Oryctolagus cuniculus: one gene and its partners. The protein of the gene in region 2 interacts with the protein of the main gene of each other region in a biochemical or structural test. Links are inferred from orthologs where the notes say so. Each region holds a gene or a part of one and is shown on either strand. Other genes may lie near its edges.

The links.
Region 1: of the proteins of MAPK1 (region 2) and MAP3K1, one has a biochemical effect on the other in vitro, tested with the Homo sapiens proteins (3 studies listed by BioGRID). The link is inferred for Oryctolagus cuniculus from reciprocal best matches to the Homo sapiens genes MAPK1 and MAP3K1.
Region 3: of the proteins of MAPK1 (region 2) and TPR, one has a biochemical effect on the other in vitro, tested with the Homo sapiens proteins (2 studies listed by BioGRID). The link is inferred for Oryctolagus cuniculus from reciprocal best matches to the Homo sapiens genes MAPK1 and TPR.

What each region holds. Positions count from the first base shown.
Region 1 is NC_091445.1:77,547,364-77,551,012, reverse strand, and holds part of MAP3K1 (mitogen-activated protein kinase kinase kinase 1), read right to left. Parts: intron 3,164-3,649; coding exon 2,885-3,163; intron 1-2,884. UniProt on the Homo sapiens protein: Component of a protein kinase signal transduction cascade. Activates the ERK and JNK kinase pathways by phosphorylation of MAP2K1 and MAP2K4. May phosphorylate the MAPK8/JNK1 kinase.
Region 2 is NC_091452.1:29,050,726-29,054,374, reverse strand, and holds part of MAPK1 (mitogen-activated protein kinase 1), read right to left. Parts: intron 2,187-3,649; coding exon 2,070-2,186; intron 1-2,069. UniProt on the Homo sapiens protein: Serine/threonine kinase which acts as an essential component of the MAP kinase signal transduction pathway. MAPK1/ERK2 and MAPK3/ERK1 are the 2 MAPKs which play an important role in the MAPK/ERK cascade.
Region 3 is NC_091444.1:3,534,426-3,538,074, reverse strand, and holds part of TPR (nucleoprotein TPR), read left to right. Parts: intron 1-1,459; coding exon 1,460-1,594; intron 1,595-3,048; coding exon 3,049-3,189; intron 3,190-3,649.

The DNA.
Region 1 (3,649 bases), on a different chromosome or scaffold from region 2:
GTTGCAGGCACCTGGGAAGTGAGTCAGCAGACAGACAATCAGTCTCTCCCTCTCTCTAACTCTACCTCTCAAAAAATTAAATACAATCTTTAAAAAAAAAATCTGAATAGATACATGAATGGGGAAGAGACAGCTCTTCTTTACAGAAGAATTCCAATTAATTAATGTGGAAAGAATGAGGACGACAGAAAAATCAACGTTAGAAGACCAGCTCTAATAGTGTAGTAATAATTGCTCCAGGTCAGATTTGCTGACAAACGGTAACATCAATGGGCAAAATTTCAACTCTTATTTATACAGTTTCAAAGTATCTCTCAAGATACTTATTTATTTTTATTTTTAAAGATTTATTATTTAAAGTCAGATTACAGAAAGCGAGAGAAAAAAAGTGAGAGATCTTCCATTGCTGCTGCAACTGTGAACCCCAAATGGTAGCAACAGCTGGGGCTGAGCCAAGCCAAAGCCTGGAGGCCAGGGGCTCTCAGGGTCTCCCAAGTGGGTAGCAGGAGCCCCAAATACTTGGGCCATCTTCCACTGCTTTTCTTGGGCCATTAGCAGGGAGCTGGGTCAGAAATTGAGCAGCTGGGACTCAAACCAGCACCCATATGGGATGCTGGCATTGCAGACGGTAGCTTAACACACCATGCCACAGTGCCAGCCCGATATTTATTAACAGTAAATTCATAGTGGAGAAAGCAGACATCACTCAAACTGAGAGCATCAGCCACTGTTACAGTGTACTGAGGAGGGAAGGGTACAGCACCCCTGTGGTAATCTTGTGAAAAGTGCACAATAACCACAGGTATGCATCAGAAACACGCACATGGATGGGCACTCTACAAAACAACTGGCTGGTAAGGCTCAGGAGTCAAGGTCATGTAAGGGAAGGCTGAGGAATCATCACAGAGGATCAACAGATTAAGAGGAAAGGATGACTGAGTACGATGCGGCATCCTGGACTGGATCCTGGGACAGAAAAAACTGTTAGTGGGAAAACTGACACGTGAATAAAGTCTGCAGTTTAGCTATAAAGTATACTGCTGGCACAGCTGGGAAGATTGAAATAGGAACCTGACAGTATGCAGTAATACTGTTATTAAGGAGAACATGCTGGTTGCAACTGGTTACACAGAACAATGTATGTATTCTTTTTTTTTTGACAGCTAGAGTTAGACAGTGAGAGAGAAAGACAGAGAGAAAGGTCTTCCTTCCATTGGCTCACCCCTAAATGACCGTCACGGCTGGAGCTACGCCGATCCGAAGCCAGGAGCCAGGTGCCTCCTCCTGGTCTCCCATGCGGGTGCAGGACCCTAGCATCTGGGCCATCCTCCACTGCCTTCCCAGGCCACAGCAGAGAGCTGGCCTGGAAGAGGAGCAACCAGGACTAGAACCTGGTGCCCACATGGGATGCCAGCACTGCAGGCGGAGGATTAACCAAGTGAGCCACGGCGCCAGCCCCACAATATAAATATTCTTAAGAGGCACATGCTAAGTGATTGGAGGACAAAATGTCATGATGCCTAGAAATAACTCCACAATGGTTCAGCAAAAAACTAGGGATGGGGAGGGAAGAGGGAAGAATAAAGACAGGGAAAGAGGGAGGTGTGTGGTGGAAGAAAAGAGAAGAAAAGCTTTGAAGGTAGGACCACTTCTGTCTCTGCTGAGCCTGGCACACTACATAACTGCCAACGGACGAGAACGTGGCATCCTTTCTATGGTGCCCATCTCAAGCGGCTTCCAGGCCAGCTGACAGTCTGAACTGCAGGATAACCAGATGGCATCTGCAGGGAGAGCAATATGGTGAGAGGACAGGGTCGCCACTGGCTGGGAAGATGAGGGACAGCTCACAGAAGATGGACCCTCGAAAGGAGAAACATACCAGGCAGTCAAGTGTGCCTAAAAGTTTGTGTTAGAAAACCGGTAGGAAGTTAAGAGGCAAAAAGCTGGGTGAAGAGCACTGTTCTATGGCACACATTGTCCCTCCGCATGTTTCATGGAAAAACAGGACAGGGTCATGACAGTTAGTGTCATGGCACTCTCTTCTGTGAAATGGCTCCTGTGTTTCCACACAAAAATGCTTACTAAAAATCATGCAAAATGCTTCTTAAAAAGAAATTCTCCTTAATATCAACAGATACCAAATTAAAAGCAAAGTAGGGCCGGCGCTGCGGCTCACTAGGCTAATCCTCCGCCTAGCGGCGCCTGCACACCGGGTTCTAGTCCCGGTCGGGGCGCCGGATTCTGTCCCGGTTGCCCCTCTTCCAGGCCAGCCCTCTGCTGTGGCCAGGGAGTGCAGTGGAGGATGGCCCAGGTGCTTGGGCCCTGCACCCCATGGGAGACCAGGAAAAGCACCTGGCTCCTGGCTCCTGCCATCGGATCAGCGCGGTGCGCCGGCCGCATCGCGCCAGCCGCGGCGGCCATTGGAGGGTGAACCAACGGCAAAGGAAGACCTTTCTCTCTGTCTCTCTCTCTCACTGTCCACTCTGCCTGTCAAAAAAAAATAAATAAATAAAAAAAATAAAAAAAAAAAAGCAAAGTAACTTGGATCCCTTTACTATCCCTTAAGTTATTATCACTTTAGTCACATGTCAAGTACCTGCTCAGGAACACGGTAAGGTATGAACAGCAGGACACTGCTGCTTGATGGGGACAGCTAACTGCACGTAAGGAAACCTGACCAGATTAAAATCAGTACAATGGAAAATTAAATGAGAGGTCGGTTACATGGAAAACTGTCATTTCCTGGGATTTTGGAAGAAAAATACACTTCAGATTTTCCAGAGTTAAGTCACATAAAGTAGCTCTATTGTATCTGGAAAACAGTATCTGAAACAATCAGCAAAGGAACCCCGCAATGAGATGGTTAGGGAATAAAGCTACTTACTAAAGCAGCAACGTACACTTTGTAGACAGGGTCGGCGCAGACCACCGACAAGACGTTGCAGCACGCCTCCACCACGTCCCCAGAGACGCTGGCCTGTGGAGACCCACTGGCGGCTCCCACGCTCGGACTGCTGCCACCGCTGCCCCCGGAATTTCCAGTGCTCTCCCCATTTGCCAACAGCAGGGCCCCACTAACATCATGGGAAAGACGCCTGAGGGCCATCTCTCTGACATTCCAGTTTCTAGAAAATAAGCAGCCAACGAGTTCCATTCCAAACACCTGTATCAAACACAGTGAATTCAACGGGAAGAAAAACAGGTGAACCCACAGCACTGTAAGCAAGCTTTTCAATTTCTACAGAAAAACTGGACATTTCTGACATCTTTACACAACTGCAAAATATGTGCAGCCATTTAAGATAGTGATGAGGAATTTTACACTCAAGTTTAACTGGTGATTCTCAAACCATTACCACTCATTAGTGTAAGAAAAATTAAGAGTAAACTCCATTAAGAATGAGACGGATAAGTATACATGCCTAGGTCTGTACCCTTCAGGCTTACCCACACCATCCTCCAAACAAAACACTGTGAAGAAACCCTTCCAGAGAAAAAGCCTGGAACAGGATTTACAGAAGCCACACTGGGACACACAGTAGAGTGGTTCAAGAGCAGACGCTAGTGGTAAACTAAAAGCATTTATTTGGTTTTTGTCTTAGACCAAAAAATGGCTTTAAAAAACCCACTAAATCAAAAATACCTTAAA
Region 2 (3,649 bases):
GAGGCCCAAGCACTTGAACCATCTTTGGGTGCTTTCCCAGGCGCATTAGCGGGGAGCTGCATCAGGAAGTAGAGCAGCCGGCCTTGAGCTGATGCCTGTATGGGATGCCAGTGTTGCAGGTGGAAGCTTAACCTGCTGCACCACAATGCTGGCCCCTCTTAAAATCCAAAATAATCTTTGTTTTTGGCCAAAGTTAAATAAAGGGAAATTTAAAACCAACATGGACACGCACCCACACAGCACCAAGCAGAGGTGTGTTCTGATGCACTTCACAGAGAAGGAACAAAGCATCACTGCTGTGGTACTTACACAACATGCGTGGTTCTACAAACCAGCTTACCTGTGTTCTGCAAAAATGTCGCTGAGTGAATGCTGATCGTCTTAGGTGGGCTAAGGGTTCCCTGGCTTTAGGGAAGTACACCCCCTTTCTAGAAGTATCAGTGTTTCCCAAGGGGGCACGAGTGAAGTGACGGACCAGGCTGGTGCAGAGTGAAGACGGTCAGACCAAGAGGAGAGCGCGGAGAAGACGAGAGGAGAGAAAGGTGGGGAGCAAGGGGAAGGAAGGGTATGATGCCAACGGCAGGGGAATGAAGGTGAGGGGTACAGGGGCAGTCACTGTACTCTCAGTTTTTCTATGGGCTTTAAAGATTTTTAAGTTAAAAAAAAAGAATAAAGTTGAACACGTCACTAGAAAGATGATCCTAGGCTAGAGGTGTTACAAGTAAATGAATCTCCACAAAGGTTCCCACACAGTAAGCCCATAGGTAGAAGGGGCGAGAGCCTCTGGAACATGCAGAGAGCCCACCCTGTCTGGCTGTGTCCCCCTGGGGGGCAACTGGGGCACCTCAAGATGGAATGGCGACACGAGACCAAGTAGCCACCAGATGAAAGACACACGGGCACCCCTTGCTAGGAACGACTGTCCACGGCTGGCTGGAGATGCAACCTGCTGTGTGGGATTATTTTAACACAGTTATGAGAGTCAACACAGCACTTTCTTCTCTGAAACATCTGTTACACCAAATCCTTCTTTCTAGTGGAATTGATCTTAATGAGCTTACTTTTGGAACTAAAATGAACAAATGTAGGTTATCAGGGATAACTGCTTTAAATAATCCCATTTCCTAACTACAGTAATCTAACGGCTTCTCCTTACTTGCGGAGGACGGAGGAAGAGCATGGAGCCTGTGAGCTTAGGAGCCCTGCTCTTCCATTTCCACCCAGCCTCCCGACTTCACTCCTGGCTCCTGGGCCCCAGACTTACGGTGCAATGTCTGTTCACATGACTCCTCCCACACTACTTTCCAGCAGATGGGGCTGTGCTTAGGAATCTCAGAGTCCTGCGATACCAGACAAACGTAACCATGCCAGGCCCACCTAGCTACCTAATTTTGGCTCACACGCTCTCTGCAAACGAGGCATGAAAAGCCACCGTATTCACGGCAGCCTTCAACTTTTGCCTGCTTGCTCATAACCTAACACACCCGTCACCCTTTCGCCTTCTGGTGCTTCTGCAGAGGTATTCAATCATTTCTGAGGAGACACACAGATCTTAGCAGAGCTCAGATGCGACAGGATGCGCTCTCCACAGCCACGTGGAGGCACAGGGGAAGGCCCTTTCCTGGCAAACACAAGTACCATGTAACTTTGAAGGAATCACAAGAGCTGTAGGTCTTCTTCAGGGAGAAGAGACATTCCTCATTATAAAGGTACAGCTGATTTAGACAGCACAGCCCTGGTTCGGTGCTGAGATGACCAGGAAGCCTCTGGTACATGCCCAGGCAGTGGTGTTGGTAGGTGCAGCTTCCACAGGCAGGACTGACCAAATGGCAGGACACAGACCACTTACAGTCACAGCGACCGGGAGGCTCAACCTGACGCGAGGACAGGTCAGCACCACCCCAGCCACGGTGCAGTGGCTGAACCAGGGCCCAGAAGTTCTAACGCAGTACGATGAGATAAAACAGTGCCTTGGCTCCAAGCCTCCACGCAAGTAGAAACAGGTTGGAGAGGGAGGCCTCCTACAACCCACATGCAAGGTTTTCTTTTTATGCAAACTTGGTCCTTACCTTGGAATTCAGCATAATTTCTGGAGCCCTGTACCAACGCGTGGCTACATACTCTGTCAGGAACCCTGTGTGATCATGGTCCGGATCCGCAACGCGGGCCAGGCCGAAGTCACAGATCTGAGAGGGAAAACAAAACAAAACACAGGACATGTCTTAAAGATTCTAAACAGCCTGACATCAGAACATCATAAAAATAAAAACAGAAAACAGCAATGATACAAAAAGTAGTTTCTTCTATCACCACGCAGCAGACACTTGGTGACAAGTCTACAAATTCACAATTATTTAATCCTCCCAACAATCAGGATGGCAGTGATGATGCTCCACGCGTCAGGGACCAGGAAACAGGCTGGCTGAATCAATAGGGCACAGTGTAAGGGGCTCTCCTAGCTTTCACTGTCTGCTTAGCACACCACAGTCTTGCTTGGGTGAATTGAGAAAAATGGTTCTGGCTAAAGTTACGAAGCTACTTGGGGCCCTTTTTTGGCCCTGTTCTGCAGGGGCTCCTGGAATCATCACTGCCAGGACCCCCACTTGCCTTCTATTTCTCAAATTCCCGTTGGCCCATCAGTAGTTATTGCAAAGTTGCTTTCCACTTCCTTCCCCTTCTATGTAGTCAAATCTACTCCCAAAGGCGCAGCTCTGGCCATTGTGGCCAACTGGGGGAGTGAACCAGTGGATGTAAGACCTCCCTCTCTCTCTCTGTCTCTGCCTCTCCTTCTCTGTGTAATTCTTTCAAGTAAATAAATAAATATTAAAAAAACAAACAAACAAACAAACCCACAACTCTTTTCAAGACTGTCAAAAGACAGCTTGTCTCATTTTCCTTTTTTCTTTTTCTAACTGCTGCACCAAAGGTCAACCAAGTCTAACTCATACTACTCAGTCGAGTGCCCAGGCTACAAAACGTTGAGAGCAGTGACAGGGAGTGCTCCACACAACACAGAATGTGAGGGCAGTGATGGCGTGAGCTCCATGCCATGGAAGGGAAACTTGGTTAATCCTCCGCCTGTGGCGCCGGATTCTGTCCCAGTTGCTCCTCTTCCAGTCCAGTCTCTGCTGTGGCCCAGGAAGGCAGTGAAGGATGGCTCAAGTGCTTGGGCCCTGCACCTGCATGGGAGACCAGGAGAAGCACCTGGTTCCTGGCTTTGGATCGGCCGCAGCACGCCGGCTGTAGCAGCCATTTGGGGGGTGAATCAACGGAAGGAAGACCTTTCTCTCTGTCCCTCTCTCTCTTTTATTTATTTTATTTATTTCTTTATTTTTTTGACAGGCAGAGTGGATAGTGAGAGAGAGACAGAGAGAAAGGTCTTTCTTTGCCATTGGTTCACCCTCTAATGGCCACCACGGCTGGCGCGCTGCGGCCGGCGCACCACGCTGATCCAATGGCAGGAGCCAGGTGCTTCTCCTGGTCTCCCATGCAGGTGCAGGGTCCAAGGACTTGGGCCATCCTCCACTGCACTCCTGGGCCACAGCAGAGAGTTGGCCTGGAAGAGGGGCAACCGGGACAGAATCCGGCGCCCCGATCAGGATTAGAACTCGGTGTGCCGGCGCCGCTAGGCGGAAGATTAGCCTAGTGA
Region 3 (3,649 bases), on a different chromosome or scaffold from region 2:
TCCCCCTCTCTGACGTTCTACCTTTCAAATAAATAAATAAATTTCATGGGAAAATGGAATTGAAATATAAGCTTAAATTTGAACACAATTTTAAAAAAACAATTGAAGAGGGAAAAAATAATAAGATTTCTTTACAAGGCTTCCATTTCAGAATTAAACTGAAACCATTGGGCTGTAATATCAACTGGTACTTATCCATTTTTGCCCATGTCCAATAAGAGAATATTCACATTAGCTTAAATTAGATTTCTGAATTTTAATTTGAATGTAAATGTCTATCTGAAATTAACAATGCTTTGAATTAAATACTAAATTCAGTGATGATAAACTTTTTATATAGTGTTTTACTTTTTTAAAAAGTTCCCCTCTCATTTTTTTTTACTGCTTTTGAGCTCAGTGTGATTGTTCCACATTTAATGTGTGAGAAATCGACTTAAATTAATAAGTAATCTGCCCATTTTCAATCACTCAAAAGAGATGAATAGGTTGGTTCTTGAACCCAAGTTTTGTTTTGTTTTGTTTTGTTTTGTTTTGTTTTTTTACCAAACAGAGGTAGACAGTGAGAGAGAGAGTTACAGACAGTGAGAGAGAAACAGAGAGAAAGGTCTTCCTTCCATTGGTTCACTCCCCGCAAATGGCCACCACAGCCGGCACTGTGCCGATCACGAAGCCAGGAGCCAGGTGCTTCCTCCTGGTCTCCCATGGGGTGCAGGGCCCAAGCACTTGGGCCATCCTCCACTGCACTCCCAGGCCACAGCAGAGAGCTGGACTGGAAGAGGAGCAACCGGGACAGAATCCAGCACACCGACCGGGACTAGAACCTGGGGTGCCGACGCCATAGGTGGAGGATTAGCCTAGTGAGCCGCGGTGCTAGATTTGAACCCGAGTTTTCTAACTCTACCTGCTCTGTTTTACCATTAGATCTTGTTCCCACTCATCATAAGCCATAAATATCAAGCATGAGTGTTCTGGTTAGTAATTGATGTGATACATCAACTGTAAATTTGAATCCTTTGTTGAATTACACCCTCCATTGGGAAGTTGAAGGAGGGAGGCACTTTAAAAAAATCAGTCACCATTTTTAGTCAGGTACTTAGAAACCAATTTGGACACAAACTTGAATTGTTTAATAGTGTGCATGTGTGGCTGTAGGTGTGGCTGTAGCATAGGTTTGCAATTTTGGTTTTTTACTGTCATTGTAGTGGGGTTTTTGTTTTGTTTTGTTTTTTGCTGTTCTTGTTAACGTGGAACATGAGTAATTGTGGTGGTTGAAATAATTTTCCTTCATATTTCAGCACACAAAACTAACAGCTATATTTACTTACAACAAAGAAATAGTCTCCAAGTAGCATTAAGGAAAAATGTAGTAATAATGGTATCATTTTAATTTGTAACTATATTACTAAACTTGGCACCATGTCATCCAGCATTCTTTTCTTTCACTTGTATATGCCTCAAGGTAAGAGCAGAAAATTTGAAGAAGGAAAAGGAAATGCTTAAATTATCAGAAGTTCGTCTTTCCCAGCAAAGAGAGTCTCTGTTAGCTGAACAAAGAGGGCAAAACCTGCTGCTAACTAATCTGCAGACAATTCAGGTAACCAAATAAAAATCGTGTGGGGGAAAAAATTGATAAAAGTTGAATTTGGGTAGTTTGTTCCTTTTGTTTTCTCAGTTTTTTTACTTTGAAAAGTGTTTTTGTCACTTTTATCATCCATTATGATCAGTGAGTTTGGGAGCTTTTTAAGACATTTTAATGGTTTTTTTAAAAAACCTGTTAAGTGGGGCCGGCAAGTGGGGCCGGCACTGTGGTGTAGCAGATAAAGCTGCCACCTGCATTACCGACATCCCATATGGGCGTTCACTCGAGTCTTGGCTGCTCCACTTCCATCCAGCTCTCTGCTATGGCCTGGGAAAGCAGCAGAAGATGCCCAAGTCCTTGGACCCTGCACCCACATGGGAGACCCAGAAGCAGCTCCTGGCTCCTCTCCCTCTCCCCCTCCCTGCCTCCTTCTCCTTCTCCTTCTCTCTCTGTGTAACTCTGACTTTCAAATAAATCTTTTTACAAAAAAAAAAAAAACCTGTAAGTGAATGGATTGAGAGACCAGCCCTGTGGTCTAGAGGGTAGAGCTACTACCTGTGACGTTGGTATCCCATGTTAGCACTGGTCCACTTTCCACCCAGCTCCCTGTTAATGGCCTGAGAAAAGCAATGTAAGATAGTCCAAATGCTAGGGTTCCTGTCACAAATGTGGGAGACCTAGAAAAAGTTCCTGGCTCCAGGCTTTGGCCTGGTCCTGGCCCTGACCATTGCAGCCTTCTGGAGAATGAACCAGTGGAATGAAGATGTCTCTATGTTTGACTTTAAAATAAATAACTGTTAAAAAAAGAGAGAGAGAGAGAATGGATTGAAATCATGGAATTGGCAAGTTTGATATTCAGATCTATAATTACAAGATCCTATGCAGCTTAACTTTTTCCAGATTAATATTTTGGGTTTTGTTTTTCATTAAAACTTGAAAATCTGAATGAGTATTAAAACTTGTTTTTTTTCCCTGTTATATAAATATTTTCTTGATTAATACTTTATACTGTTCATGTAGAAAAATGGATTATGGGCCAGTGCCATGGCTTACTTGGTTAATCCTCCGCCTGTGGCACCAGCATCCCATAGGGGCGCCGGGTTCTAGTCCCGGTTCCTCCTCTTCCAGTCCAGCTCTCTGCTATGGCCTGGGAGGACAGTGGAGGATGGCCCAAGGTTTGGGCCCTGCACTTACATGGGAGACCAGAAAGAAGCAGCTGGCTGCTCCTGACTTCGGATCAGCACAGCGCTGGCCGTAGTAGCCATTTGGGGGTTGAACCAACAGAAGGAAGACCTTTCTCTCTGTCTCTCTCTCTCACTGTCTAACACTATCTGTCAAATAAATTAAAAAAAAAAAAAAGGAAAGAAAAATGGATTATTATCCCCTAAATCCCTACAGCTTATAATTATCTTTGTATTGCTTCTTTTACTTTGTTGGTAAACTTAACTAAACTCTCTCTTTTACCGTAGGGAATACTAGAGCGATCTGAAACAGAAACCAAACAAAGACTTAGTAACCAGATTGAAAAACTCGAACATGAGATCTCTCATCTAAAGAAGAAGTTAGAAAATGAGGTGGAACAAAGGCATACACTCACTAGGAATCTAGATGTGAGTCCATAACCATCGTGAGTTTCTGTAGCTTCTTCATGTTTCATAATAAACCTGGAGTGTGGACATATATGCAAGTTGAAGCATGGTTTTGAAAAAAATTACTTAAAAACTCTGTTACCCTTTATTCTTTGTTTGCAGCTAAATTTTGTTTGGGTGCCATATATTGTGAGTTTTGCCCCGTTAGGTGCTGGGTAATTTTGTATTCCTTTGAATCTGCTTAAGCTGTGTTCTAGGATTTTAATAAAGTTAATTAGACATAGTTTGAGTCCTACTTTTGGTGATGTATTAGGCAGGCCCAGAGCAGTGCTTAGCCTAGGACGTGTTTCCCACTGCTGAGGCAAGACCTTCATGAGGACTGGGCCCAGTGTCCAGTGGATTGTGATTTCTTCCAGGCGGGCTGCTGAAACAGAAGTTATTCTGAGTGCCAGCACCCTTCACTCTAGTCACTCTGGGTGAT